7 linked regions of the Daphnia pulex genome follow. The protein of the gene in region 6 purifies or fractionates together with the protein of the main gene of each other region. This does not show direct contact. Links are inferred from orthologs where the notes say so. Each region holds a gene or a part of one and is shown on either strand. Other genes may lie near its edges. The genes, in order: pre-mRNA-processing-splicing factor 8, tuftelin-interacting protein 11-like, U5 small nuclear ribonucleoprotein 200 kDa helicase-like, small nuclear ribonucleoprotein Sm D1-like, splicing factor U2AF 50 kDa subunit-like, U1 small nuclear ribonucleoprotein 70 kDa-like and arginine and glutamate-rich protein 1-like.

The links.
Region 1: the proteins of U1 small nuclear ribonucleoprotein 70 kDa-like (region 6) and pre-mRNA-processing-splicing factor 8 fractionate together in Homo sapiens (co-fractionation; 3 studies listed by BioGRID, with this or other methods). This does not show direct contact. The link is inferred for Daphnia pulex from reciprocal best matches to the Homo sapiens genes SNRNP70 and PRPF8.
Region 2: the proteins of U1 small nuclear ribonucleoprotein 70 kDa-like (region 6) and tuftelin-interacting protein 11-like fractionate together in Homo sapiens (co-fractionation; 3 studies listed by BioGRID, with this or other methods). This does not show direct contact. The link is inferred for Daphnia pulex from reciprocal best matches to the Homo sapiens genes SNRNP70 and TFIP11.
Region 3: the proteins of U1 small nuclear ribonucleoprotein 70 kDa-like (region 6) and U5 small nuclear ribonucleoprotein 200 kDa helicase-like fractionate together in Homo sapiens (co-fractionation; 3 studies listed by BioGRID, with this or other methods). This does not show direct contact. The link is inferred for Daphnia pulex from reciprocal best matches to the Homo sapiens genes SNRNP70 and SNRNP200.
Region 4: the proteins of U1 small nuclear ribonucleoprotein 70 kDa-like (region 6) and small nuclear ribonucleoprotein Sm D1-like purify together in Homo sapiens (affinity purification with mass spectrometry; 6 studies listed by BioGRID and IntAct, counting the BioPlex papers as one, with this or other methods). This does not show direct contact. The link is inferred for Daphnia pulex from reciprocal best matches to the Homo sapiens genes SNRNP70 and SNRPD1.
Region 5: the proteins of U1 small nuclear ribonucleoprotein 70 kDa-like (region 6) and splicing factor U2AF 50 kDa subunit-like purify together in Homo sapiens (affinity purification with mass spectrometry; 4 studies listed by BioGRID, with this or other methods). This does not show direct contact. The link is inferred for Daphnia pulex from reciprocal best matches to the Homo sapiens genes SNRNP70 and U2AF2.
Region 7: the proteins of U1 small nuclear ribonucleoprotein 70 kDa-like (region 6) and arginine and glutamate-rich protein 1-like purify together in Homo sapiens (affinity purification with mass spectrometry; 3 studies listed by BioGRID and IntAct, with this or other methods). This does not show direct contact. The link is inferred for Daphnia pulex from reciprocal best matches to the Homo sapiens genes SNRNP70 and ARGLU1.

What each region holds. Positions count from the first base shown.
Region 1 is NC_060027.1:2,049,013-2,053,323, forward strand, and holds the start of pre-mRNA-processing-splicing factor 8, read left to right. Parts: upstream 1-1,402; 5' UTR 1,403-1,557; intron 1,558-1,759; 5' UTR 1,760-1,787; coding exon 1,788-2,013; intron 2,014-2,074; coding exon 2,075-2,407; intron 2,408-2,468; coding exon 2,469-3,087; intron 3,088-3,258; coding exon 3,259-3,451; intron 3,452-3,515; coding exon 3,516-3,833; intron 3,834-4,068; coding exon 4,069-4,311. UniProt on the Homo sapiens protein: Plays a role in pre-mRNA splicing as core component of precatalytic, catalytic and postcatalytic spliceosomal complexes, both of the predominant U2-type spliceosome and the minor U12-type spliceosome.
Region 2 is NC_060026.1:12,432,124-12,436,489, reverse strand, and holds the start of tuftelin-interacting protein 11-like, read right to left. Parts: upstream 2,859-4,366; 5' UTR 2,822-2,858; coding exon 2,511-2,821; intron 2,451-2,510; coding exon 2,258-2,450; intron 2,185-2,257; coding exon 2,091-2,184; intron 2,020-2,090; coding exon 1,918-2,019; intron 1,861-1,917; coding exon 1,746-1,860; intron 1,671-1,745; coding exon 1,475-1,670; intron 1,412-1,474; coding exon 1,002-1,411; intron 939-1,001; coding exon 649-938; intron 581-648; coding exon 493-580; intron 404-492; coding exon 273-403; intron 207-272; coding exon 140-206; intron 76-139; coding exon 48-75; intron 1-47. Other genes in the region: uncharacterized protein LOC124205947, read right to left, coding at 3,277-3,755, 3,833-4,084, 4,268-4,366. UniProt on the Homo sapiens protein: Involved in pre-mRNA splicing, specifically in spliceosome disassembly during late-stage splicing events. Intron turnover seems to proceed through reactions in two lariat-intron associated complexes termed Intron Large (IL) and Intron Small (IS).
Region 3 is NC_060022.1:2,646,456-2,650,694, forward strand, and holds the start of U5 small nuclear ribonucleoprotein 200 kDa helicase-like, read right to left. Parts: upstream 2,940-4,239; 5' UTR 2,895-2,939; coding exon 1,604-2,894; intron 1,597-1,603; exon of another isoform or gene 1,591-1,596; intron 1,539-1,590; coding exon 385-1,538; intron 316-384; coding exon 1-315. Other genes in the region: zinc finger protein 704-like, read right to left, coding at 4,016-4,239. UniProt on the Homo sapiens protein: Catalyzes the ATP-dependent unwinding of U4/U6 RNA duplices, an essential step in the assembly of a catalytically active spliceosome. Plays a role in pre-mRNA splicing as a core component of precatalytic, catalytic and postcatalytic spliceosomal complexes.
Region 4 is NC_060020.1:8,496,563-8,499,378, reverse strand, and holds small nuclear ribonucleoprotein Sm D1-like, read left to right. Parts: upstream 1-1,236; 5' UTR 1,237-1,385; coding exon 1,386-1,399; intron 1,400-1,586; coding exon 1,587-1,663; intron 1,664-1,826; coding exon 1,827-2,027; intron 2,028-2,085; coding exon 2,086-2,171; 3' UTR 2,172-2,267; downstream 2,268-2,816. Other genes in the region: GPALPP motifs-containing protein 1-like, read right to left, coding at 1-4, 73-243, 331-804. UniProt on the Homo sapiens protein: Plays a role in pre-mRNA splicing as a core component of the spliceosomal U1, U2, U4 and U5 small nuclear ribonucleoproteins (snRNPs), the building blocks of the spliceosome.
Region 5 is NC_060018.1:5,212,964-5,217,198, reverse strand, and holds the start of splicing factor U2AF 50 kDa subunit-like, read left to right. Parts: upstream 1-1,381; 5' UTR 1,382-1,534; coding exon 1,535-1,562; intron 1,563-1,850; coding exon 1,851-2,150; intron 2,151-2,214; coding exon 2,215-2,477; intron 2,478-2,553; coding exon 2,554-2,776; intron 2,777-2,843; coding exon 2,844-2,917; intron 2,918-3,200; coding exon 3,201-3,323; intron 3,324-3,386; coding exon 3,387-3,545; intron 3,546-3,611; coding exon 3,612-3,911; 3' UTR 3,912-4,235. Other genes in the region: RNA-binding protein 28-like, read right to left, coding at 10-187, 250-698, 759-927, 1,002-1,115. UniProt on the Homo sapiens protein: Plays a role in pre-mRNA splicing and 3'-end processing. By recruiting PRPF19 and the PRP19C/Prp19 complex/NTC/Nineteen complex to the RNA polymerase II C-terminal domain (CTD), and thereby pre-mRNA, may couple transcription to splicing.
Region 6 is NC_060026.1:6,141,064-6,145,026, forward strand, and holds the start of U1 small nuclear ribonucleoprotein 70 kDa-like, read right to left. Parts: upstream 2,801-3,963; 5' UTR 2,509-2,800; coding exon 2,365-2,508; intron 1,895-2,364; coding exon 1,777-1,894; intron 1,708-1,776; coding exon 1,643-1,707; intron 1,505-1,642; coding exon 1,442-1,504; intron 1,381-1,441; coding exon 1,299-1,380; intron 366-1,298; coding exon 285-365; intron 82-284; coding exon 1-81. UniProt on the Homo sapiens protein: Component of the spliceosomal U1 snRNP, which is essential for recognition of the pre-mRNA 5' splice-site and the subsequent assembly of the spliceosome. SNRNP70 binds to the loop I region of U1-snRNA.
Region 7 is NC_060026.1:6,459,042-6,463,182, reverse strand, and holds the start of arginine and glutamate-rich protein 1-like, read left to right. Parts: upstream 1-1,300; 5' UTR 1,301-1,428; exon of another isoform or gene 1,429-1,609; intron 1,610-1,681; 5' UTR 1,682-1,742; intron 1,743-1,851; exon of another isoform or gene 1,852-1,921; intron 1,922-1,930; exon of another isoform or gene 1,931-2,080; intron 2,081-2,183; 5' UTR 2,184-2,204; coding exon 2,205-2,359; intron 2,360-2,427; coding exon 2,428-2,571; intron 2,572-2,634; coding exon 2,635-2,860; intron 2,861-3,749; coding exon 3,750-3,833; intron 3,834-3,910; coding exon 3,911-4,072; 3' UTR 4,073-4,141. Other genes in the region: melanotransferrin-like, read left to right, coding at 1-365, 427-671. UniProt on the Homo sapiens protein: Dual function regulator of gene expression; regulator of transcription and modulator of alternative splicing. General coactivator of nuclear receptor-induced gene expression, including genes activated by the glucocorticoid receptor NR3C1.

The sequences.
Region 1 (4,311 bases), on a different chromosome or scaffold from region 6:
TCAACAGTTTGCTCGCGGGGAAACTTCTTCATAATATAGGTAGTCTTAGCGCCTTGGATACTGACATCACCTCTGAAAGCAGACCCATCTAATGAACGAAATCCGAACTGTGACATTTGTTTAGATAAACTGTTCGGGAAAAACCCAATTCAGTAGTCGTGATAAGGAAATGAAATTTGGGAATTGCGAAATAAGAGAATTTGAAGAAATTAAAGGTGTTCATTATTAAATAAAGGAAGTATAATCTAATAGGTAGAATTACTGGATTTTCGTATGATATGCATCAGGTCAAACTAAACTAAAACTTAAAAAACAGTTCCCCTTGAATTGGTGATGCACTTAGTGTATTTAATAATGCGCCAAAACTCTCAAACAATTATTGTTGGTTGCATAAATTGTGTGTCAAAAAATTCATTATTTAATATGATTTTAGCTCTTGCAATATCACAAATCAAAGGGGCAGTTCAATTATAAGGGGCATCTAAAAACTACAGTAAATAGTAATTATTTCATTTTTAGGCCAAACTCATATTCTTTTTGCTGAGGGTTTCTTTGAGCTCATTTCTGATATTTTCCATCACTTCTGGATTATTCTCTACAGTTCTGCTCAATTCAGTTAGAGCTGAATAAGCCATGGCTTGATTCAAAGGGCAGACTACAAATCCACTCAGTCTTCCCCATAGTCTTTCATACAAATTGTTCCTCTCTTCTACCGTAAAGTCCTCTCTTAAAGCTGTCATCAGAGGTTTGTAATTGCCATATCCCATAGCGTGTGATAAACCTAGGATTCCTGTGCCTGCGACAGCTCCTGCAAATGATGACAAGAAAAAATGATAGGTGCCAAATGGAAAAAAATGAAAACTGCCAAACTGAAAATTACCAATGACAGCTCCAAGAGGACCACCAGCTAAGCCACCAAGGAAGGTTGGCAAAGCAACAGTGGCTGAATCTTTTAATGGTCCAGCTAAGGAAACTGAAAGTGATTTTGTCCTCGACAGTTCCTCCAACAGACCTTCAATCAACTTGATTGCAAGAGTCTGAAATACATAAAACGTTTACATAAAAAAAAAAATGAAATCCTCTTTAATCTTGTCTTGAAAAAGGGGACATTATAATTTTATACTTCCATGGCAGTAGTCTATTGTTGTTACGATAATTGGAGTCACAAAAAATATTTTGAACTACAGACTAGAATGGTGATCATTAAGAATTTGCACTGAGTTCGGTTTAGTAGCGATAAACTTTCACTACTAATTTATCAAATCGAACGATAACAATGTGTAAACATGATAAGAAAAACGAAAAACTGCAACAAACTCAAAATAAAAAGAAGCAGACAAATTTCGAACGTGTGATGCAATAACAAACGGAGTTGCCGCTTATTTAAAAATAATTAAAATAAATATTCAAGCCATTTTCGACGGCAACTCCGTCTACAGTAAACCGGCATCGCGCTTTTTCGTACAAGCTGCGTATACTTCCGTGGCTTTCATTGTATAAGAAACGTGGAATTGCGACTGGTTTCTAGATTGTGTATAGGTTTTTAAAACTTTATTGGTGAGCATTGTCGTTTATTCTATTTCAAACTTTGTTTCATTGATGATGGTTTGTGTCTCAAAAGTAACTGTCTGGTGAATGTTTTAAGGCTAAACAAATAGTTTATTGCCATGAGAGTGGACATGCTTGTAAATGTCATGGCTGACTGTAAGCATTGGATGATGGAGCTATTATGTTCTAATTTTATTGTTTTAATTACCAGGGCCATAGCCCAGAAAGCTTAAATCAGGATGTCGGGAATTCCACCATTTTTTATTCCTGGTGTCACACCCCCAAATCCATGGGCAAATGCGGCCATGATGGCGCAAGCCCAGCAACAGGCACAGCAAGCCCAAATGGCTGCTGCGGTCCAAATGCAGGCTCAAGCAGCTGCAGCTGCTCAACTTCAAGCTGCTCAGATCCATGCAGTTCAAGCAGCCCATGCACAAGTGCAGGCTCAGGTTCAGGCAACACAAGGTAGTAATTGAGTACAAACGTTTATTATAACAAGGTATTTTATCAGTTTTATTTACATCAGGTCCTCCTGTAATAACTAGTTCGAAACAAGAGCAGATGACAGAAGAAAAAATGCAAGACAAGGCTCGTAAATGGCAGCAATTACAAACCAAACGTTATGCAGACAAGAGAAAGTTTGGCTTTGTTGATTCTCAGAAAGAAGATATGCCTCCAGAGCACGTCCGTAAAATCATTCGGGACCATGGTGATATGACCAACCGAAAGTTCCGTCACGACAAGAGAGTGTACCTTGGTGCTCTTAAATATATGCCACACGCTGTTCTCAAGCTCTTGGAGAACATGCCTATGCCTTGGGAACAAATCCGTGATGTTAAAGTACTCTACCACATTACAGGTTCGTTTCACTTATCTTTTCTTTATGTTGTATAAACGCTAATGGTATTCATTTGTTTTAGGTGCCATTAGCTTCGTCAACGAAATTCCGTGGGTCGTTGAACCTGTTTACATTGCCCAGTGGGGTACCATGTGGATTATGATGCGTCGAGAGAAACGAGATCGTAGACACTTCAAACGAATGCGCTTTCCTCCTTTTGACGACGAAGAACCTCCGTTGGACTATGCTGACAATATTTTGGATGTAGAACCCCTGGAAGCCATTCAGATGGAGTTGGACTCGGACGAAGACAAACCAGTTGCTTCTTGGCTGTACGATAGTAAACCTTTGGTCGATACTAAATTCGTCAATGGTACCACCTATCGCAAGTGGCAACTCGAAATGCCTCAACTGGCGACACTCTACCGTTTGGCGAACCAATTGTTGACTGACCTCGTCGATGACAATTACTTTTACCTCTTCGACCTCAAGTCATTCTTCACCGCCAAGGCGCTGAATATGGCAATTCCGGGTGGACCTAAATTCGAGCCACTTGTAAAGGACGGAAACACTCAAGATGAGGATTGGAATGAATTTAATGATATCAACAAGATTATCATCCGGCAACCTGTTCGAACAGAATATCGTATTGCCTTCCCCTATCTCTACAACAACATGCCCAACTTTGTTCATTTATCTTGGTGAGTAATACTGGCTTTCAACTTGTGCTTTAATGGCTGAGATATACACCGATATCCAGAAGATACTTGGATGTTGGTGGCTGAAACAGTCGTAGATAAAAAAAACCAAGAGCTCTTAGTCTTTACTACATAAAACTATATTGAGCCCTACAATGATTATTTCTCTTTTAGGTATCACACCCCAAATGTGACCTTCATCAAGACAGAAGATCCCGATTTGCCGGCTTTCTACTTCGATCCGCTCATCAATCCGATTTCGCATCGCCGTACCGAGAACAAGTTGGCAGAAATGTCTGAGCAAGATTTGTTACCCGACGATAGCGAAGAATTTGAATTACCAGAATATGCGGCACCACTGCTTCAAGTAAATTTTCCATCATCTGAAATTTTAGTTAAAAAGCAATTTTAATCGATATTTCTCTTGACAGGAATGGCCCTTGTATACGGACAACACAGCGAACGGTATTGCGTTGTTGTGGGCTCCCAGGCCGTTCAACTGCAGGTCGGGATTCACTCGTCGTGCACTGGATGTTCCATTGGTCAAAAACTGGTACCGTGAACACTGCCCACCCGGACAACCGGTCAAGGTGCGCGTTTCATACCAGAAGCTATTAAAGTACTACGTCTTGAATGCGCTCAAGCATCGACCACCGAAAGCCCAGCGCAAGCGTTATCTTTTCCGGTCCTTCAAGTCGACCAAATTCTTCCAGCAAACAACTTTGGATTGGGTTGAAGTCGGCCTCCAGGTAAATATTAAACTTTTTCCTGTTAAGAGTCCTTTATAATGATGAGTTGTGCAGGGGTCATGAAATTACCCATAACATGTTAGGTAGACATTGAAAGTCGGGTCTGGCCGTTTGCTAGCCAACTTTCGATGGGACAACGCACTTACTGATATTAACAATCCTCTTAACTTCACATTTCATATTTTTATATCTCTTCCCAAAGACTTAACCCATTTCTTTGTTTGAACAAATTTAGGTCTGTCGTCAAGGATGGAATATGTTGAACTTGTTGATTCACAGGAAGAACCTCAACTACTTACATTTGGATTACAATTTCAACTTGAAACCCGTCAAGACCCTTACAACCAAGGAGCGTAAAAAGTCACGTTTCGGAAATGCTTTCCATCTTTGTCGTGAAATCCTGCGTTTGACGAAGCTGATCATCGACTCCCATGTCCAGTATCGTCTCAACAACGTCGATGCTTTCCAATTGGCTGAT
Region 2 (4,366 bases), about 6.3 Mb from region 6:
ATTCATGCATAATTTGCAACAACAGCTGTGAAATAAATTCAACGTACCTGCAACCATTTTGGGAAGAAATTGGACCTGCAATAATAAAACAGAAGATTGTACTTTTTAGTTTAAACCCATGATACAAGATTATACTTACACAAGTAATTGTATAAGGCTTTGGGAAGGCATAAGATCTTTCCAGTTCATTATCCAGTGCCAAACATCTATTTATGTATTCAATGTAAAAGTTAATAAACGTATTTAAGTTCTGTAGTATTGTAGTAACGAACCTAATTCTTGTCGACTGGGGTTTATGTCCCAATTTGCAATAGCAACTTGCAGTTTTGGTAAAATATTTTTGATGAGGAAAGCATCCATGGAACCCTTGGAGAAAACGGGAACCCAAGGCATCAAAACGGAACTAAAAAATCCATACGGAAGTACACAATATATTAAGTTACACGTTAAAGATAGTCAGCCTTTTAAAAACTAATAAAAAAAAAAAAATACCGTGCAGACTGATCTGACGGTGACCAAGCCACCAACGCTTGTGCCATTTTATGCCGAATGTTGGGATATACGATTTCCAGTTTTGATCCTGAAAATTTGAAATTATTTAAATTTACTACATGATGCAACTATCTAACACGAGTATAAATGCACTACCTAGTCGGGGAAGCCAGGGATGGATCCAGGCATGAATGGGAATGAGATCAGTCAACGGATTCCAACTGTCTACTTCTTTTTGTATTCTGGGAAGAATGAGTTGATCCAAAATATTTTCCATGATCCAGTTTGGCAAAATTTGCTCCCACGACTCGATCAAGTCAACCATTGGATCCGCATTTTTGCAAGTCCACTGTCCAACGAGTCCTCGAAATGCTGGCATCCAGGCATGCCATAACAACCCGTGATAAGGATCCATTCGACTATCATTTTTAACAATTCCGCCCCGACTGTGAATTTTGAAAAATGTTTTACAAAGCAACTCACTCCCACCTCCCACCGAATATTCTTACCTGTTGGTCTGAGTCTTGTTGCAAAATTCCAAGATAGGTCTCCATCGTTGAAAAATTAAACGACAAGCTTCATCTGTTGATTTAGAATCCATGGGACGCCAATAGGTTGATAATCGCAACTTCATTAGGGGAATGAGGTAAGTCAGAGTAACGTTGGCTAGATCCGACGATACGTATTCTTCCGGGTAGCTTTGTTCCAAATTCCTTATCTGCTCCCAAAGGAAGTCTAGAGATAGCTCGTTTGTCGCCTGTTTCAGTTCAAGCTGTTCCAGGACTCCAAGCATCGATGTAAGCATTTCCATTCGTGTGATCTCCTTAGAAACCTCAACGCTCATATTTTTCACTTGCGATTCCATGGCCAATATTTGCTCTTGATTGTAGGAGAGTTCTTTGGCATTTTGAATAATTTCCTATTATTAACGATAAACAGAATTGATTATGAAATCCAAATAATTGTGACAATAATATCTTACGTGTTCACAATGGTCTACTAGAGTGTCCAAGTTGTAGCAGAGTTTTTCAAGTTGAAATTTATCAACTTTGAGTCCAGCTGGTGCAGGTTCGGAATCGCTTGGCTCTTCCGTCCTTTTGGTTCTCAGAGCGCTGTATCCTTGAAGAACACGTTGTTCTCGGCCTGTCATATCAATCACTTTGGCTTTGGAAATTTCACTATATATACAACAGTGTTTTAGATTTCATGCAGAAAAAATGAAAGGTCTTGATTTAAAATCTCAATACTATTACCTGTATTCTCGAGCCATTCTATGAACACCACCTTTAGACATTTCTTCAATCACTTCTTCGGAAGTACGATACATATATTGGATCTTTTTTTTCTTCGACGATGGTTCGACTAAATCTAATATTCATTTTTTAAAAGATTACTCACTATTTTAGTATATTAACTTTTCTTTACCTTTTCTCCAGTGGGCCAAGTTTTTCTTGAACTCTTTCTCTTCTTCATCATCTGATGCTTGTTTCTTTGCAGGTTCATTTTTGTGTTCAGCTCCATACATACCTATGACATGAAGAAATTGCAACAATAGAGATCAATAAGTTAAGTGAAAATCAAAAGCAATGTTTCATTACCAACTGCTCCTCTTCCTTTGCGAACCTGAGCTTCCACAGGTTGGCTTCTTCCTTGCAACTCTTTACCAAGTCCTTTTCCAGGTTGGTAACCCATCTAAACAAAGAAAAATTATTAAAATAGTAAATTAATCTGTTGGGATGCATTCAACAAAATAAAACTGACACACCTGAAATAGAAGCTTAGCACCAATTCCTTTAGTATGTTTTTCCCATTCACCAAGATCGCCAGCACCTGAGCTCTTAGCATCTTTGCTGAACCTATCAAACATTTTTCTGGGCTGTTTCTTGTCCTGCAATGTTTTCTTTCCAGCTGTAAGATTGATTTCACTGGCACTATTGTGGGAATCATCTTCTTCGTCACTATAAAATCAGAAAAGCACTGTGTAATTGTCTTTGAAAGATAACTATGTAATGGCATACCTTTCTGAATACGAAAAGAGCTTGGTTTTTTTCTCAGGTAATTTCTCCTTTTTTGATCCCTGCTGAACACCACCTTTGACAAAATCAACTGGTGTGGTGTAATCCTTGGCTGTTGACGATTTGGAAAAACCTGGACGGCCAGAAGATGACGTTGACCGCTGAGTGAAATTTTCCCCTTCATCTTCATCAAATACTCCATATATCTGTTGGTTTTTCGTCATCTTTTTAAAACGACGTTGACCAGGTTGGAAAGCATCATACAAATCTCTTTCTGACACATCGAAACTCTCCATCTCTTCTTCATTAGCCATTTTCAAAAATTTAGTAAAATGATGATGAAAATTAACCAAATAAGTTGATGATATATGTCTTTCTTTTGTATCAGTTAGAAACACATCAAATAATGATTTAGTTTGAAGAACACAAACTAACAACACACAACACAGTTAAAACTGAAAGTACAAAGTTGCTTAGTATTTTTATATTTCTTCTGCTACCTTGGAGAATGCTAAACAGTAACCAGGTACGTAGTGCGAGCGCGTATAACAGGTCCCAGCGGTTTGAACATGTGATACCAGTTCGAACTTCCTTCCCTTTTACTTATTAAAAAAAAATCTTATTTCAATCCTACTCCAGCAAATTACCATTCCTTTATTAATTAATATCAAATTATTTTCTACCACTCGTAATATATTTTTCAATAATCGGGTCAAAATTCAGTCCATGGTCGATTTTCGCATTTTGGATGTTCCTTCAGCTGAAATTTTCAAAGAGACGAGGCAATATCTTCCTCCAACATGAAACCGGTGAAATGAGTGTAGTGGTCACCGTTGTCAGCCAAATACACCCCTGGTAAGATTTGTTGAATCTGAACCCAAACTTGATCACCTGATTTCAATTTCAGCGTCGACTGGAGGGACAACTGATCATTTTGAAAAGCGACGGTGTTTCCCTCTTCGAGATAAGCAATCCCGACTCCATTCCCGTTCAGATAAAGAATGATTTGCAAGCGAACTAGAGACGTTGTAGCCGGAAGTTCAACCGATCCAGTAAAAGCGAAAGAATAAACTCCTGATCGTGGGGCCGTGAATTTTCCTGTTGTTAAGTTAAAGGCATTTCCCACGTTTATCCGCGCCACATCAAAAGGAATTGGAACCAACTCCGTGTTGAATGAAGAACTTCTCTGAACGTAGAAATGGGCGGGCGCTGATTTGACATCAGCGTATCCAATCCATTTCTCGAAACCTTTTTTAGAAATAATTTGTTGTTATTAAATAATAATTCAGAGTGCATAATAAAGAGAAAAAAAAATAAACATTTACCGTCATCGCCAGGAACTTTGGTGAAATCGCAGTAAACGGATTCCATCGTCGTAGATCCCATAATGGAATAAAATCCATTGAGGGTGTGGCCAATTAACCAAAGATCCTTACATGACGTGGGCATTCTAGTCAGGGCGACTGATCCGGTACACACCAATCGACCAAGCGTGTGGATGCCCGACGAAGTTTCCAGTTGAGTTCGGCCAAAATTCAAGCGGGTGACGGGCAGGACATTTTTGTCCGTAATGACACCTAAAAACATTTGAAGCCAAAAAAAAAATAAAGAGAATATTTACTGAGTCATTTTTGTCACACGGAAAGACGAGGAGATCACGAATATTAACTTCAACATATTTGTTTATAATTTTTCATGAAAGAAAATTAATGTTCTGTTATAAATCTTGTATAATTCCGAGAATCGTTTTCAACTCTTACCGTTATCGACTAATTGAACTGGAGCCACTGAGTCACAGTTGCACTTTGCAATAGAATCAACACAATTTCCGTCAATTCCGCACTGACAGGTGTGAATTC
Region 3 (4,239 bases), on a different chromosome or scaffold from region 6:
GTAGCTCAACCAATGGACGGCGTCTTTGACATTTTGCACTGTGCCGGAAACGATTTCAGCGTTCAGCATGTCTGGTAGTTTGCTGACCATTTGCGACTCGACGGGCAATTGCTGATTTTGCAGCGACAGGTAATACTGTAACTCGCTGTGGTTGGTGATGAGGATACCTTCACCTTTGGTATCGTACTGCGGTCGACCAGCACGACCCAACATTTGCAAGACATCGAGAGATCCAAGTTCGCACCATCGACCTTTCTCCGGATTGTAGACTTGCGTTCCTTTGATGATGACAGTATGGGCTGGCAAATTGACACCCTAATATTGGTAAAAAAATCGTTAAAATTTGACCTTTTCTAAAACGCTCTGATTAGTTATTATATTTACCCAGGCCAAAGTAGCTGTGGAAACGAGCAACTGGATGTGACGATCAGCAAACAAATCTTCGACCAAAGCACGGTCCACACGGCTCATACCAGCGTGATGGATGGCAAAACCATAGGGAAGTAGGTCCTTCAGCTCCTGATTCTTAACTTGTTCGGCTTCATTGCGCAAAACTTCCGTAGAAGCGGAACCCTCACGTAGAAAGGCTCCCAGAGAGTCTTTCTCCAAACAAAGATCGCGGATGGAACGTGCTGTTTTGCCGGTTTCTTTCCTCGAATGAACGAAGACGAGAATTTGATTCTTGCCGGCGTGCTCCATTACCTTCTCGTATACAATTTCGTTCATAATCTGATAACGCTTAACAGCTTTCTTCTCCGTGATTCCAACGTACTGCTGTTCCAAGGGTACAGGGCGGTAGCTGTTGTCGAAGAAGAATAGACCCGTCTTGGGTCGGACACGCAAGAAAGTGGCCACATCTTCGTAATTGGGAAGCGTGGCAGAAAGACCCACCAATCGCAAATCTTCTTGAGTGGATTCGACGGTGCGGATAGTACGAGCTACCAAGGCTTCCAAAACTGGACCACGGTCGTCGTGCAACAAGTGAATTTCGTCAAAGATCATCAACTTGACCAGTTGCGTGTAGGTTCGGTCTCCTGATTTGCGAGTGATAATGTCCCACTTTTCGGGCGTGCAGACAATCACCTGAGTTTGTGCAATTTCTTCACGGCTGAGTTGATGGTCGCCCGTCAATTCGGCAACTTTCAGGTTGAAAGGCGCCAGTCTTTTGCCAAAACTGCCCACCATCTCTTGTACGAGCGAACGCATGGGTGCAACGTAGATGATTTTGAATTCATCAACGCGAATTGTTCCGTCCGGATTGATGTACTTGCCCAATTCTCTCATCATTGTCAACAAAGCCACGTTGGTTTTGCCGGCGCCGGTTGGGGCGCAAATTAACATGTTCTCATCCGATTCGAGAGCTGTTTTATAGATTTTAGACTGGATTCTGTTGAGCGTTTTGAATCCTTCGAAAGCTGGTTGGGCGTAGGTTGGAAGTTTATCGATAGGAATAAGCATTTCATCAGCATCAAAAGGCCTAGGTTTCAATGGTGGCACATGAACTTCTTCGTAGCCTTTACGCTGTTTTCGGAAAGAACCTGCAATACAAGTCCATGTTTAAATTTTGATTGAAATTAAAAGATGAGAAACTAAATTATTATACCTTCTGGAAGTGTACACTTTTTGTTGGCCATGAAGTGAGAGCCCTGAGCGAATGCAAGATCCTCCAAGTCCAGTAGCTCTCGAAGACCTGGAATGCCACTGTACCCTTCCTGTCCTCCACCTCCGACTTCTTTGGAGGCAGAAGTACCTTGACGTGAACTCTTTTTAAAATCGACTTCCATCGGTTCGATTCCAGTGTCGTCCCTCACAGTATCTAATTGTCGAAGGATCTTGTTCAGATGGGGATTGCTCTTCATCTCGTCTTGAATGCTTCGACGTTCAGCTTCGCTCTGTGCGGATGCCAGTAACGAACAGTAAAGAATCATGTGTCTGTTTTGTTTAAGCAGCTTGATGAAGTCAAAGCAGTCAAAACCAAGCAAGACAACTAGCTGATTTTCACATTCTCTTTCATCCTGGATATTCTTGAGGATGTTGAGGACTTCACCGGCTCTGGCTTGAGACACCATGGGGTCACTGTAAAACTTTGACAGCTTCCTCTGAAGCCAATAGGCATCAATATCGAGGGGATGCAATTTCTTCTCTTTTTTACCGCCCAAATCGACGCCACTTGCGACAGCATCAGCATGAATGGCATGGTCTGTTTCAGCTTCATCAGCTTCATCCTCACCGTCATCTTCTTCTCCAATCTCTCCATACACATTTTCTTCTTCGTTTTCTTCGTCTGTGTCTTCAAATTGCACATTGATGCCATACTGGTCGTCCATTTGCTCTTCTCCAGTACCCATTTTCTCGTCTTGGCCCCAATCTGTGATCTTCTTACCCAGGTTAACGAGCAGGGCAAATCTTTCTTCTGGCAAGGAGCCAAGCATAGCCTCTGTTTCCTTTTTCTTCTCCTTATCCTTGAGCTTGTCGTTCTTGAGAACCGTGAGGACTTCATCAGCAGCACCACACAACACATCTCTGGGTTGATCACTCAACGCTTCCTGAATAAAACTGAGAAGCACTTCGTAAGTCTGTTTGGTGTCCTGCGTTTTGGGCCTGTAGATGATGCCAGAGATTTCATCCAGGTTGTCGCTTTGCAAAGGTCCTTTTCCACCATTTTTACCACCAATATCAGTTTTGTTGGGATCACGCTTCTGACGTTTTGCCGGTTTCATCCGTTGGGCTTTGTCACCCATGCGAGTTCCTTCCAACTTCCCAGTAAGGGACATAACCTCACCGGTGGCTTCATCTCGTGCTCGGCGATCGATTAAACGAACGTCAGCTTGTAAAACCAAATTAGAATTGGCTTTATACTCGTACTGGAGCGAACGTGCTGCGGCGTCCGCCATTTCTTACGGCTTGCTTTTAGACACTGACGAAAGTTTCGTATGCTGTTCGAACAGGCAATTGACAGCGTTGCCAGTTTGTAATAAAACAAAATTCAGAATTCGAGAGGAAATTTGTATATTGAAAAATTTAAAAATCTCGCCATAAAACTCTGGGTCGACACGCGCGAAAAAAGGGATAAAAAAAATACAGAAAAAAAGCAATTAAGAAACTAAAACACCATTTTTGTAAGGAGAAAAAACCAAACATTTTTCAAAAGTCCATCGGTCTTGAGAATGAAATGAGAAAAAAACACAGAAACAAAACCCCCCACTATGCGAACTACAAAGGAGATGGAAAAACAAAATCAGGTCTAAATAGGGTAAATCTATAAACGTTAAAATTCACGCAGCGTTATTGCAAAAATAACTCTAAATCGACGAAATAAAGAAACATTGGTAGAGAAAAAAGCCATCTAACGCTGTACAAAGCTTTTTTGAGAGTAACGCAGATATGAGGTGGGACATAGGGATGAAAACAATATTTTTTCAATGATGTTGTACGAGAGGTAATAACGACACCAGTCAGAGAAATCGTCACTGAGCTACGGCAGCCTGGTCAGTGGCAAGATACAAAACAACACTGCATCTTCACAACGAAAATTATGCACACACAACAACACGCTCCGGCATGAATTTGTCATAACAAATACGAAAGCCAATAATAATTAAAAAAATAAAAAATAAAGTCAAAACGTTTTTTTGTCTTTTGTCAAAAAGTTGCCCGCAAGTAAAAATGGTTTCAAACAATATCAACCGCCCAGCGCGCCAAGTGTCATAGATCTTTTGAGATCCGTCATCCGCACAAAAACTTGGCTCCTATTCCGCAATACATCCAGCACCAGACATCAAAATTTAAAAAAAAATTTCCTGTCGACAACAATAAAAAGAAAAATAGCCATGAAACAACAAAACACAATCAGACAAAGAAAAAGGAGGGGAGACGTTTGTTCCATGTCAAAATCAAGCGGAAAACGGATTAAATTTCTACAGTCGGAAATCCGAGCGGTTGTTTTTCTTTTTCTCGGAAAGGATTAAATAGTATATATATACGTACACATTGGGGTGTGGTATAGTCATTTGTTTCACTCGCCGAAGCGAGTGCAAGCCTTTTTCCATTTGCATTGAGTGCACCACTGCTCGCGGTGTTCCATTCCGTAAACCTTGCGGCACTTTTTGGCCTCGCCGCGGGGCCGACGAACGGGACTGCTCTTGACTGTAAAGACCGAAGCTCCGGTAGTAGATGGTGGCGCTAGTGGGGGCGCCGGTGAAGGAGACGTTTTGGGCGACACAACCACTTTGGCCTGTT
Region 4 (2,816 bases), on a different chromosome or scaffold from region 6:
CTTTCTATAGAAACAAAAATCTTACTTCAAATTACCCCAACTTTAACAGCAAAAATAAAAATGTAGGATTACCTTGCTTTTCATTTCCTTTTGATGTGTCTTCAACAAACTCTCTGACCTCTTCTTGGATTTATCATGCATGGCCACAATTTTCTCAAGCTTCTTATTCCTTTTTTGTTCCAAGTATTGTTTCCTCATTTCAGCTTCAAAATCCTCATCTTTTTCTTTGGATGTACTAGGCTGCTAAAATTATATTAATTAAATTATAGAAATTAGCAATGACCAGCTAAGAAAATTTCATTATATGTGTATCTATTGTACTATCTGAACCTTGGAAGTTGGTGTTGAAGTCCATTGATCTCTCCCTACAACCTCAGGTTTGTCAGAACGATTAAAGACACGAGGTCCCAGGCCAAAGTTTTTCCTTTTCAGTTCTGGAAGCTCAATCATCCAATCTTCTCTTTTTGGTTGCTTGTTGGCTTCATCATCATCCACACCAAGCAACTTCCTCTTCATCTTAAGAGCCCGCTGTTCAATGTCAACTGATGAACTATGTTCAGCATCCATACAATCAGCTGGCAGTGGTCCAATAACTTCATCATCTGATGAAGAGTCAACTTCATGATTAACAGAGCATCCTCTGTCATTGGAGATATTTGATTGCACTAACTTGCTGGACACTTTCTGTGATTTTAAATGAGCGGGAAGTGCTGGTCCGTAGAGATCACCTTCATCAGAATCTGAATCATCATTTTCATACGCTGTTTGAAGATGAGGAGGTAATGTTGGTCCGATTCGAGACATTTTGAGAGGGAAAAATTAAAACCACGCGGGAAATTGAGAATGCGTTACCGACAAAGAATTATTTTTAAAAAATCGAAAATAGGTGAAACCGAAACCCAATGTTTAGCTTACTGGAAATGCTGTTATAGTATGCAGGCCTGTCTCATGTGTTTTCTGTTTTGGAGTACGTTTTATTGTCACTCATGTCATGCCACTTGTGTTCTATGCGGTTCTATGATACGCTTCGATAATGCTTCTGGATTTATGAATTTATTTTGATAAATAAATTTAAAATAATAAAAAAAAATTATTATTAGTTAATTTTTGATTAAAATATGCAAAAATAAACCTTGTCTAATAACAAAATTCAAAATATTTGCGTAGATGGCGCTACGTTACAAGTACAAAAATCATAGTCATCGACCGTTATGAAATATGAAATGTCACAGGGCCTTTTTAGTATAAGTTATGCTTCCAACAAGCAGTTTTGGTTTTTGACTAGCGTACCTCGTGCGTTTCACTAAACTAAGGATTAAAACATTCAATAAGTCGTATATGGTGATTTACTTTATTACAGCCATCAAACAACAAGTTTATCAAAAATGAAATTAGTGAGGTAAGTTTCGGAATATGTTCATTGTCAAGTAAATTCGTACAGAAAGTAGCCACAAAAATCGGTTTGGTCTGGGTATTAAGCCGGTTGTTGGATGCGTCTGGGAAACTATGCCGTTTCTATATTTCACAACTTAAATAGTTCACTGCTTTCAATTGAAATAAATACCATTATTTTGTATAATCCTTAGGTTTTTGATGAAACTGAGCCACGAAACAGTCATTATTGAATTAAAAAATGGTACTCAGGTTCATGGAACAATAACAGGTAATTCAATTTTGTTGTCTTTATTCGATTTTTTATTTTACTGCAATCCTTAAATACTTTCTTCGAAAACTTAGTGAAATTGCAAACACATAAGTGACATTTTAGAAGAAAAGTTTTCCGTTTTGTATATTACTAAATTCATTCATTTGATTATGTTTTATAGGAGTTGATGTTGCTATGAACACTCATTTAAAAGCTGTGAAAATGACAGTTAAAAACAGAGACCCTGTTCAGCTTGAAACTTTGAGTATTAGAGGAAACAACATCCGGTACTACATTTTACCTGATTCACTTCCTCTTGAAACCTTACTATTGGATGATTCTCCGAAAGCCAAGGCCAAGAAGAAGGATGCTAGCGGTAGAGGTAAACTTTTTTCCCCTTATCACTGTGTTCCTCTTTTCATTTTCTTTTCTTTTTTTAGCTCGTGGAAGAGGCCGTGGACGCGGAGCTGTCAGAGGAGGACGTGGACGAGGACGTGGACGTGGTGCTACTGGTCCTCGACGCTGAAATTTGTAATTTCCAACGATTTTCCATTTTTTTTTTCGTTCTTTTCAGCAAATGTGGAATCAGTTTTCATTTGCATTACAAATTGTCATTGTCTTATATGTTTTTTGGTCAGTTGAAAAGTCCTTAAAACAAACACTTTTTTCCCCACAGTTGAGTCTGTATGAGAATTATTTATCAATTCCAATTGACTCCCATGTAAGCATAGATAATTTGTAGAGAACCGTCAATTCCTTTTCTTGATTTATAAGCGGACATCGCATAACGTTTCCTTGCTTATTTCAAGAATATTGACTATTCTTGCCATTTTGTCAGAGGAGTCGGGGAAAAAACAAGTGTAAAGAGCGGTGTAATAAGTAATGAAAGTTTGATGGAAATGAAAGTTAAATTACTTTTCTATTAAATTTAGACTAAAACTATTCAATTTTTTGTGACTAAACCATTAAACTTTAATTTAAATTAAGAATGTCGCAAATTTAAGGAAAACTTGACATGTTTAAGAACAGTCGTGGCTACAAGTTTTATTTGCTTTTGTAACTTCAGTTTAAGAGGTATTTGCGTTTAAGAGGCTTTCGGCGATATCTGCTCCTAATTTTCTATTATTCATACATAGAATGAAATGCAAAATTTGCATTTTCCTCGTTTTCC
Region 5 (4,235 bases), on a different chromosome or scaffold from region 6:
GAATCTTACATCCTTCGCGAGCAAGAAATAGATTTCTCTTATCCTTATGTTCCTTTTTTTCAGCTTCTTGCTTTTTGTGATCGAGGTCTTCCCGAGTAACTGCAAGAGCCACGTCTAAAATGCGTCCATCTAACTGTAAATATGGATTTCGAGACTCTTCTAAACACTTTTGAGCCGATTCCGAATCCTAAAAATGGTTAATATGAAAAGTTATTAGTATGTATTTATTTTTGCAATAATGCAACTTACTCTAAATTTTACGAATCCAGTGCCCTTGGGTCTCTCCATAATTTTATCCATACACAACAATGCATAGTGAACACTGCCAAATTTTTCCATGAAATTTTTCAACGAGTCTTTTGTGGTTGAAAAGTCCAAATTTCTGATAAAAAGAGTCTTTCCTTCTGCTACATCACTCTTCTTTTCTATTTCAGAATTATCACCCTTCCAAGCTTCTTCTTTTTTTGGACTTTCTTCTTCACCGGAACCATTCTCAACTTCAGAATCAGAAGCTTCTCCATCTTGTTCTTCTTCATCATTATCTTCTTCTTCATCATTACTTTCTTCATCATCAGATTCTTCATCTTTTCTGTCATTTTTCTTCTCTGGCGGCTCAATGTTTGGAACTTCGTCAGTTTTATTATTTAAAGTGGCATACTGTTGTTTTGGTATGGCCCAATCAATAGCTATTTGCCTTCCTACAAAAAAAAAACAATTGATAAGCTATTATCAAATTTAAAATGTTAAAATTTTCTTACCAAGAAATGGTTTTGCATTGCATTCTTTGATTGCTGTAGCCGCACATGGAACTGTTTTAAATTGAACAAAACCACAGCCAACTAAAGTGCCACCAGGTTTCTTTAATAATTTCACATCCTCAATTTCTCCATATTTCTCAAACCAGTTTTTAACAGCTTCTTCTGTTGCCTGTTAATAAATTAAATCAAGTACTAACTTACTAACATACTAAAAGTAGCATAAATTAAAGTTTCTTGGCTTACTTTGAAAGATAAATTGCGAATAATTATTCTTCCTCTTTTATTGGGTGGTCTCTTCTTTGATGTGTTTGCTTTAGTAACAATAGAAGCTTCTTTTTTAACTGAAGAGTGATTCATCTTTTAAATCTATCCAAACACGTGCTTGTCTGTATAACTGATGTAGCTAGTCAAGCAGACGATTATATGTGTCAAAATGTAGCATAGACTGTTGTCAATTGGCAAAATGACAACTAATGAGGATTAACATGAATACAACAATTACTCAGAAAATAAATTTTATGTGGCTATTATTTTATGAAATATTTAATCTTACCTTTCAGTATATTAATCAAAACCAAGTTTGAAATTGTAAACATTAAATCGACGTTGCCGGTACAAGGAGTCAATCGAACCTCGTCTCCGACGCCATTCGCCCATTCCCAGCCTTTAATCAAACCGGCTTACAGTCTTAGTGAAAATTTGGACAATAATTAACTGTTTTCCTCTGCTGTGTTTCTTCTTATTGTCGTACAAAAGCTAACAATCACACGTTAATCATGGGAGAAGATAAAGATGATCGTAAAGGTATGTTTTAACTTCTCTAAACTACTTCTGTCAATATCAACTATAATGCTTTTGTAATGTTCTTAAGAGTCTGTGATGCTTAAGAAAGAAATGTTTAACACACATTACTTACAAGTAATGGGTGTTTAATGATCTGGTTGTATTTTACACATAATTTCATAACTTTTAATGGTTTATAATGTTGGCTCGTGGTTTTGCTTTTGTATGGAAATATTAGTCATAGTAGTTAGAAGGTAGTCAAGCAAGTAAACTTACTTGTTTGATTTATTAACATTTGAAATACTTTAGTTGACAGGGAGAGAGATCGTGACCGTTCCAGAGATAAGGAAAAGGACAAGGAAAGAGACAAGGATAGGGAAAGAGATAGAGACAGGGATCGTAGACGGTCCAGGTCTCGTGACAGAAAGAGAAGGTCTAAATCTAAGGAAAAGGAGAAGGAGAAGAAGCGTAGCAAGTCCCGTGAACGTGAACGCAAAAGGAGTCGTTCTCCTGTTAAAAAGCAACGCCGAAGAAAGCCGTCTATTTACTGGGATATTCCTCCTATTGGTTTCGAACACATCACACCCATGCAATACAAAGCAATGCAAGGTATAAATCCTTATTCAAGTTTCAATTTTAATGTGCTAATTATTATTTTCTTGAATCTACGTAGCTGCCGGACAAATTCCAGCTAACATAATGACGGAAGTAGCCCCACAAGTCCAAGTACCAGTAGTGGGTAACACAATCACTCGTCAAGCCAGGAGACTCTATGTTGGGAATATTCCTTTTGGAGTTTCTGATGTACGCGCAGCGGAGGAGGAAATGATGGATTTCTTCAATCAACAGATGCATTTGTCTGGTCTGTCTCAAGCTCCAGGTCATCCCATTTTAGCTTGTCAAATTAATCTGGATAAGAATTTTGCATTCTTGGAGGTTTGTTGGATTGTTTTCACGTGAAACCTAGTATTTTAGTGGAATATTTAAATAATTTTGCTCTTTTACTTTTCAGTTTCGGTCAATTGATGAAACTTCCCAGGCCATGGCTTTTGACGGTATTAACTTTAAAGGTCAAACTCTAAAAATCCGCAGACCCCATGATTATCATCCAACACCTGGTGGTGGCGGCGGAGGAGGAGGAGGTGGTGGTCCCGAAACAACGCCCGGCATGAGTTCTGGTGGTATAACTGAAAAGAGGGCTGGAGGTGGAGGTGGTGGAGGAGGAGGAGGCACAAGTAAGGACGACTTAAAGTGATTCTTTTATGGCAAATTTCTTTAATGTATTCATTGTTTTTTGCTCAGTGAGCACGATCGTCCCGGATACACCCCACAAATTGTTCATCGGTGGACTTCCAAATTACTTAAACGAAGAACAAGTAAGTTACCTGTTTCGTCGATGTGACTGTAAAATGTGTTTTCGATTGGGAGAAGAAAAAAGAGTGAGAGAAATGGGATTTGTGAGCGTCTAGTTGAAGCAAAATCGATTCTGATGAATGTCTTCTTCTTTCGTTCTCCCTAAACAGTGGTCACGTGATCCTTAAAACTTCCTACCCATTCCAACCACACAACCTCGATCCATCTCCCCACCGTCGATCCCTAGATTGTTATTTTTGAAGGTCGACTCTAGGCACGCACGCAAATTGTCTCATTCGAATTTAGGTAAAGGAATTGCTGATGTCTTTTGGACAACTTCGAGCCTTTAACTTAGTTAAAGATACGGCTACTGGCTTATCCAAGGGATACGCTTTCTGCGAGTATGCCGACGTCACCGTCACCGATCAAGTAAAGTAGACCATGATAATATTCCTTGAAAAACCATTACATCTAATTTTATTTTTCTTTCAGGCTATTTCCGGATTGAACGGTATGCAGTTGGGAGACAAAAAGATCATCATCCAGCGAGCCAGTGTTGGAGCCAAAAACGCCGCTGCTTACGCCCAGATGCCAGTCCAGATTCAAGTACCAGGATTCAATCTTGCTGCCGGTCCTGGCCAACCGACAGAGGTACAAAAATCAACCTTGTCTAATGCGACAATTTTTAATTTCATTTTGGTCTTTTCTTTTGCGTAGGTTCTATGTCTGCTGAACATGGTGACACCCGAGGAATTGAGGGACGACGAGGAATATGAGGAAATTGTGGACGATATTCGTGAGGAATGCAATCGTCATGGAGCCGTACGTTCAGTCGAAATTCCCAGGCCGTTGGAGGGTGTCGATGATGTACCGGGAGTTGGCAAGGTCTTCGTCGAGTTTATTTCGGTGAGCGACTGCGTTAAAGCCCAGCAGGCGCTGACAGGTCGCAAGTTCGCCAATCGTATCGTCGTTACGTCATTTTACGAACCGGAACGCTATCACCGACGGGACTTCTAAGCCATGACGGCTTCTGTCATCAGACAAAAAGTAATCCGCAAGATATGCCCCTTCTTTTTTTTTTTTTTTTTACTTTGATGAAACAAATAACGTCATGACGAACCGACGCTTGATGAGAATAAACGGCCTGATGCGTACGGGATTTCCCTTGATGAATTTGATTTTCTTTTTCTTCAGTTTTTTTTTGTCATTTCTAAATGGGTTTTTCGATATTTTGCATCAAGTTTGTGTTGTCCAACCTCTTTGTTTGGCGTGTCGGTGAAAAAACAAAACAAACAATAACATGTGTAGTAATGTATAACCAAACCATATTTCCCAATACAC
Region 6 (3,963 bases):
GTCCTGAATGTTTTACGTTTACATCTGGTCCTCCACGACGAGTCCCACCCAAGCCTCCACCCAAACGGCGAGGAAGCCAACCTGGAATGCAATAGTTTAGGTACTTAGAAACCATGGCGGCATGATTATAATATCTAACAAGAAGAAAAAAATTTTGTGCACTTATTTACACTGATTAATCAAAATAAAAAACCTATGGATTTTCAAAACAAATTTTAAAATTTGCCTTCGAAAAAAAGGGCAGCAAACTATAAACATAAAACTTATTTAATTAAAATAATTACCTTTGACAGTCCTTGCCCTTTCTACGTCTACAAGAACTCTGCGGCCGTCTATTTTCTTTCCGTCGGCGTGTTTGTACGCAGCTGGTATTTTAAAACAACAAACCAGTATTTCGGCGCCGTCGGCAAAACGAACAAATCGTAAATACGGGTAGTACAGCAGGCAGAGAAGACGAAAAATTCAGCGTGTATAACATGGAGAAGGAGAGTTCCAACAATTAGTATCACAAACCTAATATCACCTACCGAAGGATCTCCATTACCTACCCCTCCCAGCAATTTCGAAAAATATTTACCGTGAATTAACAAATAACGAAAAATGCAATGATTTCAAGTATGACCAATCATAACACTTGGAAAATGCATAAAAAACCAACGCCACGGCCGTTTACCAGATTACGGCTATGTTCACGTAACATCCAGATCTATTAATAAGCGATCAAATGTTGCCAATCACAGAAGCAGATCCATTCCCTCTTCAAGCTGTCCCCATCTTTACCTGTGAATCCTCTTAACGCGCAGCAGCACTCGAAGAATCTGATCGAATTGAAATGGCCCTAATTTTTAGTGGCGCTAGAAAGCCTAGTAACCGACTTACCAGGATACTTACTACCATCAAGGGGAAGGGAGGGTGAAAACGAAAAGATACTTTCTTTGAAGCTAATTTGAACCTGCAGTCGATTTCAAAGGGATTTTGGTTTAACTTTAACCAAACGAAACCTTACCAATTGACCATACAAACCTAGCATCAAGAGACAAAAAGCGACAAAGGCCACATGACCGTCCAAATAGTCGGAGGCCGCGACTGTGACCGGAAACGACAAAATGAAATATAGGAAAACTTTAAGGTACAAATCAATCACAGATTTTCCCCACCTCACCCCCACCCCTTTCATCATCATACAAATTGGTGGTGCGACGATTAATTGAACAGTGAAAGCTATCGCAGGCCTTACTAATTAGCCCACTACCCTCAGTTACCACACGACTTAGGTATAATAGAAAAGAAATACTTACAATGCATGTCTCGCTCATGTTCATACTCGATGAATGCATAACCGCGTGGCTTACTAGTCCTCTTGTCATGCACCAACACAATCTGTAACATTAAAAAGCGTGGTAAGCGTGTGATTAAATTTCACATGGTGCTTGTAAGTTACCTTCCGAACAACTCCGTACACTTCAAACTCCCTGCGCAATTTAGATTCCGAAGTATCAAAATTCTGAGAGAAAATGTTTCAAGAATTATCGTTTCATTCATGCGGATTACTAGTTATAACTTAGCACTCATTATTCATTAAGCTCGAAATAAAATAAAAGTGATGAGAAAAAAAAATTATAGTATGAGTATTGACACTTACAATGCGAGCAACGAACAGCGTTTTGAAGGGGTCCATGGTAGAAACACCATTACTGTGTGGATCCCCTATGAATGCCAGAGAAAAGGGAAATTGATAAAAGAAATTGTAGAAACACACCAAAAATTAGAACTTACACATTGCAATTTCCTGTTCAAGTTTATAGGCAACTTGTTCTGCCTTTTCGCGACGTTTTCTTTCGCGCCGTTCATCCCGTGTTTCTGCTCGCGTAGGAGGGGGTGTATCTTTAGGATCCTGTTAAGAATATAAAATGATATTAAAAATTTCGTTATGTTTGAAAGCTCAGTACTTAGTTCATCAGAATGCTTCTAGTATGCAATGTTTCGTTCCACATCTCTCATTTAAAACTTTGTGAAACAATGACTACTTTACACCCCTCAGACATATGCTAACATTAAATTGTCAACCTGATAAAAGGCTCAGCTGGAAACACTGTGCTTCCAGAAAATTAAGACACTTTCACAACATTTTCACAAAATATTTTGCATCTCACATGTCACACATGAAAACTTGGGATTCTCATCGACACATCTAGAGGAGAATGAATAAATGAACCAAAACTGTTCCATAAATTGGGATTGGGACCCGTGCATTAGTAAATTAAGACATACATTACTTCCCAAATCAATCAAATTAGATCAAATTGCAATACTTACCTTGACTACTATATCAATTTTTAATTTTTAATGGAATCAAATACTAACCTCAAACAGATTTGTATACTGCGCTATACCAATGTATGGCGTTCTTTTTTTTTCATGAGTCAATTTATCAGGTGGTGGTAAAAATGGAGGGGGATCGCGTGGCGCAAAAAGAGCCAAAAGATTTGGAGGCAAAAACTGCGTCATTTCACAAATATTTCAATGAGCATGGACCTTTCAAAAAGCTTCTCGGTCGAGCGTCTTAGCTGTCGGCCATTAGTCCATTACTGTCTATCTATTGCTCGGCAGGGCTGCCACTTTGGTCTTTGGTGGGATTTTCCCACTTTTGAAATTTTCAAGTTTTTAAAATTGAAAATACCCGTTTTAAAAAACGGGTATTGTGGGATGAGATGGGATTGAGATTTTAGGAAAAACAGCGGGATTTTGTAATTTCTAATTTATCTGACCAATTTCATAAATTTTTTTTGAGCCGTAAATAGGCTAGCAACAAAATATATATTTGGCAACTAGAAATAAAACTAAATTTAAAAAAGCAGACGAATCAATACCAGATCAGAATCAGACATATATAAAAGTAAATAGTCACTACAGTCAAAAACAGCGTTTTGGCCCCAACCAATTTGTATCAGTTTTTACTTTTTATATTGTTTTAAATATTATAATCGTAATACTAGACCCCCGGCCCTTTAGTTTGCTTGTTGCTTATTGCTTATTGGATTTTAATGGGTTTGGCGCTGATATTTTTCATTAAATTTCTTGAAAGTGGAGTCTAGTAAGTAGGTAGTAGGTAACTTATAACATTTAAATTAATGCTCTTTAAGGAAAAAAAACTATAAATACTACATAAAAATAGACATAATTAGGTTTCAAATGAGACTAAGGGGGAATTTCTACGTGCATTTTTGACAAGGTTTAATATATGGTAAACATATTTTATACGGTAAGATTTATTTCATTACTGCATCTCAAAAGATTCAAGTTGTACAGCATCTTTCAATTACATCCAAGTCCCAAATATTGGTAAATAAATAAATTAGTTCCTTTCTTTCTTACAAAGCCTTTTCGGCCTTTTCTTAAATACATTGCTGATGCGGTTAAGTTCGGTTAATGTTATTGTGGTTTTCAAAAATCAGCTTGGATTTCAACTTCTACTTGCAGACAAACCAAAACAAAGTAAAAAAAAACTGTTCGATATTATTTGGCCTCTTGATGGCGTAGAATTCAATTATTGAATTAATTGAAATTAATGGTTTCTTAGGATTAGGAATGTCTTTAATCTTGATGTATTTATCGTCTGAAAGTTGAGACGGTGTCTCTAGCTCTCTACTTTAAGACCATAACAAAATTTTACTTTAGTTAGCTAAATTTTTTGCGCCAAAAAACTCATACTGTTTCGTCCTTCATGCTTAACTCAGCTTAAGGATAGGCCTTTTTATCGTTAGCACATGCAAAAAAATAAACAAACAAAACGCGGCAAAGTCTGATACACACGACATGATTCTGAATCGAGTTTCCATCATCACGTGACCGCAAGCACTCCGCCGGTCCGCCCACAAAAATAAACCCAAAAATGGAACCATACAATCTGTGAACATGTTTCCATAGTTCTACTAAGGCAGATTGCCCGAGATACCTAGATGG
Region 7 (4,141 bases), about 320 kb from region 6:
GTGCCATGGCACAAGTTTTCGATTTTGCCGCCGTGATCACTCTGAGGACTATTTTGGCAATACTGGGGCTTTCCGCTGTTTAGTGGAGGGAGGAGGTCACGTTGCCTTTGTCCGACACGCTACTGTTCTAGAAAACACTGATGGTAAAAGCCGAGAATATTGGTCCCGAAATCAGCTTTCGCGAGATTATGAGCTTCTGTGTCGTGATGGCCAAAGAGCTCCCGTGTCAGATTACGCTCGTTGTAATCTAGGGAAGGTCAAAGCTAATGCCATGGTTGCAAGAGGAGGACGAGGCTACAATAAAACAGAAATCGATGCGTTCATAAACGTTTTTATGTATGCGCAACAATTTTACGGGCTGAAAGGTAAACAATTTTTACATTTAATTATTTCAAAAAATTAAAATCTTGAATTACTGTAATTTAGGAGATTATTTGGATTTTGCGTTGTTCACGTCTGACCCTCCTTATAACGACGTAATTTTTCAAGACGCCACACAGAAACTGCAAATCGTCCCTCCTAGCCAAAGGCATTATCACAAATATTTGGGACCTGAGTTCTTGAGAGCCAGACAGTTAGTGGATTGCCAAGCTGGGGCCCCCACTTTAAAATCAAGCATTACTGCAGCATTCACAATTTTTATATTCGTTTTTAATCATATTAGGTTATAGAATCTACCTCTTTTTTTAAATGACTTTGACTTCAGTGAACAGACACAGTGCCTAATGTTTTCCGTCCATTTTCTCACTGCAATGAATCTCTGTTTATGATGTAGATCGACTTTTTTTAAATTGGAAATACACATCCAATTTACGTTTCTTGATGCGTGGTTGATTTGAATTTGCAAAGCGATCGTGGACTCCTTTTTATGACTGTTATTTTTAGCTCACCCTCACTCTTTACCGTAATTTTAACAAAATGACCTTGTTGCTAGTGTTTCGTCTTCTTGGCTTAAAGGAATCTAAACTAACGTTTCAGGCGAATTTCTTTTAGATTTTTATGTCGTGAAAAAAAAAATCTTATAATCACAAGAGCTTGAATGTTTCTTGTGGTCAGACACATTCTTATGCAGGATAATATATATTTTTTTTTAAGTTCTTATCTTTCTAGTTGTGCTGTCTGATATTATTTTAGTTTTAAATTCAAAATTTGAGCTTTTTTCTTACTTTGGTTGGGGTTTATTATTTTCAGCTGACTTTTAAATCTTTTATTGAATAAACCCCATTTCCGGCAGATGGCAGCTCAATCGCCCGATTACATTTTCATGAAACATGAAGTAGCACTCCAGGAGAACTCACGCAGAAACGTAGTAACTTGGTAAGACAGCCTGAGCTGCGTATCGCATTGTTCAGACTTCAGAGATAGATATTAGATTTAGATATTAGATAACATTGTGGTCGGAAATTAAAGGAAGGGAATAACCACTTGGTAAATTCTTCCCTACTCATCTTTTCATCAACTGTTCTCTAAATTCCTTCCCTAGTTCCCTGAATCTGAATGTACACATCCCATTTCCCATGTACCTATGCCCCTCCTTCAAATGCCCGAACTAACCAGCCGCAACGTCATCTGTGGAGCTCGCCATGCGTAGCTCAGGCTTTCCAATGTGGTTGGTGACTTCCTCTGGTGCACTTCTTGTTTTCCATCTTCACATCAGTTTTATTTCTGTTTCTGATTTTAGATGGCTGTGGTGTGTGTGCTGATGTTGAATTCGACTAGAATATCTTGTGCTTCATAAAAAGGTATGAATTCAATATATTTCTAGATATTTAAGAAGTCTTAATCGAAACCTTGGTGTTCAAATGTATCATAGATGCTATTAATCCTTTGTTTTGTGCACTTCCATTGAAGAAGAAACATCTGTTATATAGGCGTTTTCCTAAATTCGGATGGATTAATCTGAAAGCAACCAAAAAAATGTGTACGACTCGAAAACGAAATTTGTTACGTACCACTATTAACTTGGCTATTAAAAAAAAACTTAGTTGTACACCAAAACCTTTATCATATTAAATTGATTGGATCGCATGCATGAGACTTTAATCATAAAAGCTGTAGTCAATGAAATTCTTAAATCAAAGTGTGTATTTTGAGCTCTTATACCTTTCTATTTAACTGCATGAAGTTATTGAAGAAAATCCAAAGATAAAGAAGTTACTAAAAGTTTTTATTTCTATTCTCAGTTTCAGAGTTGAAAAACAATAATGACAAAATCGAGAAGCAGAAGTCGCTCAAAATCACGAGACAGGGTGAGGAGAAGCAAACATAAAAGACGCTCTAGGTCACGGTCGCGATCGAGAAAAAATGAAAAACATCGGATGCCTTCTAGTCGCAAGGATTCTTCTGAGACTAAATACAGGTTAACTCAATTGCAGTATTCAAAAAAAGATAGAATTTCTTTATTCAGCGTTTGAAATGTATCATTAGGAAGAGGTCAAGATCATCGTCCTCTTCCAACAGTGATTCTGATGCTGGTTCCCGGAGATTAAGGCTTGGTCGGAGTAAACTTAGTGAAGTCGAAAGACTCGCTGAAATTGAACGTCAAAGAGCAGCCCATAATGCAAGAATCATGTAAGAAAAAACAATAAATTGTTTTGAAGTCTGGGTAACCGTTAATTGTCATGTTTCTTTCAGGCGTCAAAAGGAACAGGAACAAAAGATAGTGGAAGAAGAAACTGTCAAAAGAATCGAGGAAATGGTGGCGCAACGAGTGGCAGAAGAATTGGAAAAGCGGAAGGACGAAATTGAAGCTGAAGTCTTACGGCGTGTCGAAGAAGCCAAACAAATAATGGAACGACAAATGCTGGAGGAGCTAGAAAGGCGACGGAAAGAGAGGCTGGAAGAAGAAAACCGCCGCGAGGTATCGTATTTGGTTGGATCCAGTTATCTCCCGTTTTCTCACGGGCAAAGAAACGCTGAATTTGCAATCAACTTACAGCTCGTTCCCGATGTAGTTGCCACATTTTTAAAATGGTGGCGATGTCGTTATCTTCTCAAGATTTAGGAAATTGTTAAAGTGGAAAATTGTAAATTCAGCCGTTTCCGCGCATACAAAACATGAAGAAGTCTATCGGCGACATTTCTCTCCCATCTTGCATCTTGTTCACAAATTTATAGCTCTTTTCTCCCGGCGTTCATATATGCATTCCGCGCCGAATAGGAGCGGGCTGTCTTGTTTTGTTTTTTCTATACAAGACATTTTATTCCTAAACCTAAAAAGAAGATTTGCAGAGAATTCGATTTATGTTATCAAGTGATGAGAGAGAAATTGAACGGTTTGAGGCCCTTTTTAATGGTGGGTCATCATTTCGATCGACATCTGGAGTATGCTGACAGTGAGATCTCTCCGCCGAGCAAGGTCAGTTATTTTCTGGTACCGTGACCTCCAGTGTCAATTCAAGGGTCATCAGGGTTGTGCAGGTAACAGCAAATCATCACCAAACAAAACACATTTGTTTCCCCCTCTCTCGATATATTTGACATTATCCTCATCGTTTGACATGACTGATTGTTCATTTCATTTGTGCTTCACTATTTATGTTAATTAAAAAAAAAATGCCATTTATCTTGGTAACTTCGGCCACCATCACTACCCTACACCCCGTTTTTAATGGCGTGACTTGGATGGGTATATGGTTCCGCGTGCCGTTTAACGTCGTCCTAAAGTATCGATTTTTTTAACCTTACCCATCGTCCCTTCCTATCCTGCCTCATCTTCCCTTATGCACCCGGATACCCGTTTGAAACAGGAAGAGGAAAGGCGCAAACGCGAAGAGCTCGAACGGATCGTGGAAGAGAATAATAAGAAAATCGAGGAAGCCCAGCGTAAACTCGTGAGTTTCATACAAAAACAAACTTGAAAGATAATCAATTTACAAAATATTGTATGCATTTTTATCCTAAATTTTAGGCGGAGGAACGTTTGGCCATGGTGGAGCAATCGAGAAAAATGGAAGAGGATCGACAAAGGATGCAACGCGAGCACGAGAAACGGATGCGCGACGAGCAATATTTGATTTTGGGAAAAAAGAATGCTCGACCCAAATTATCTTTTTCACTTAGTAAACAGTGATGACTGATTACGGGTATCCAAGCAACCAAATTTAATATTTCTCGCCATTTCTTTCGCCTAGTATTGCTA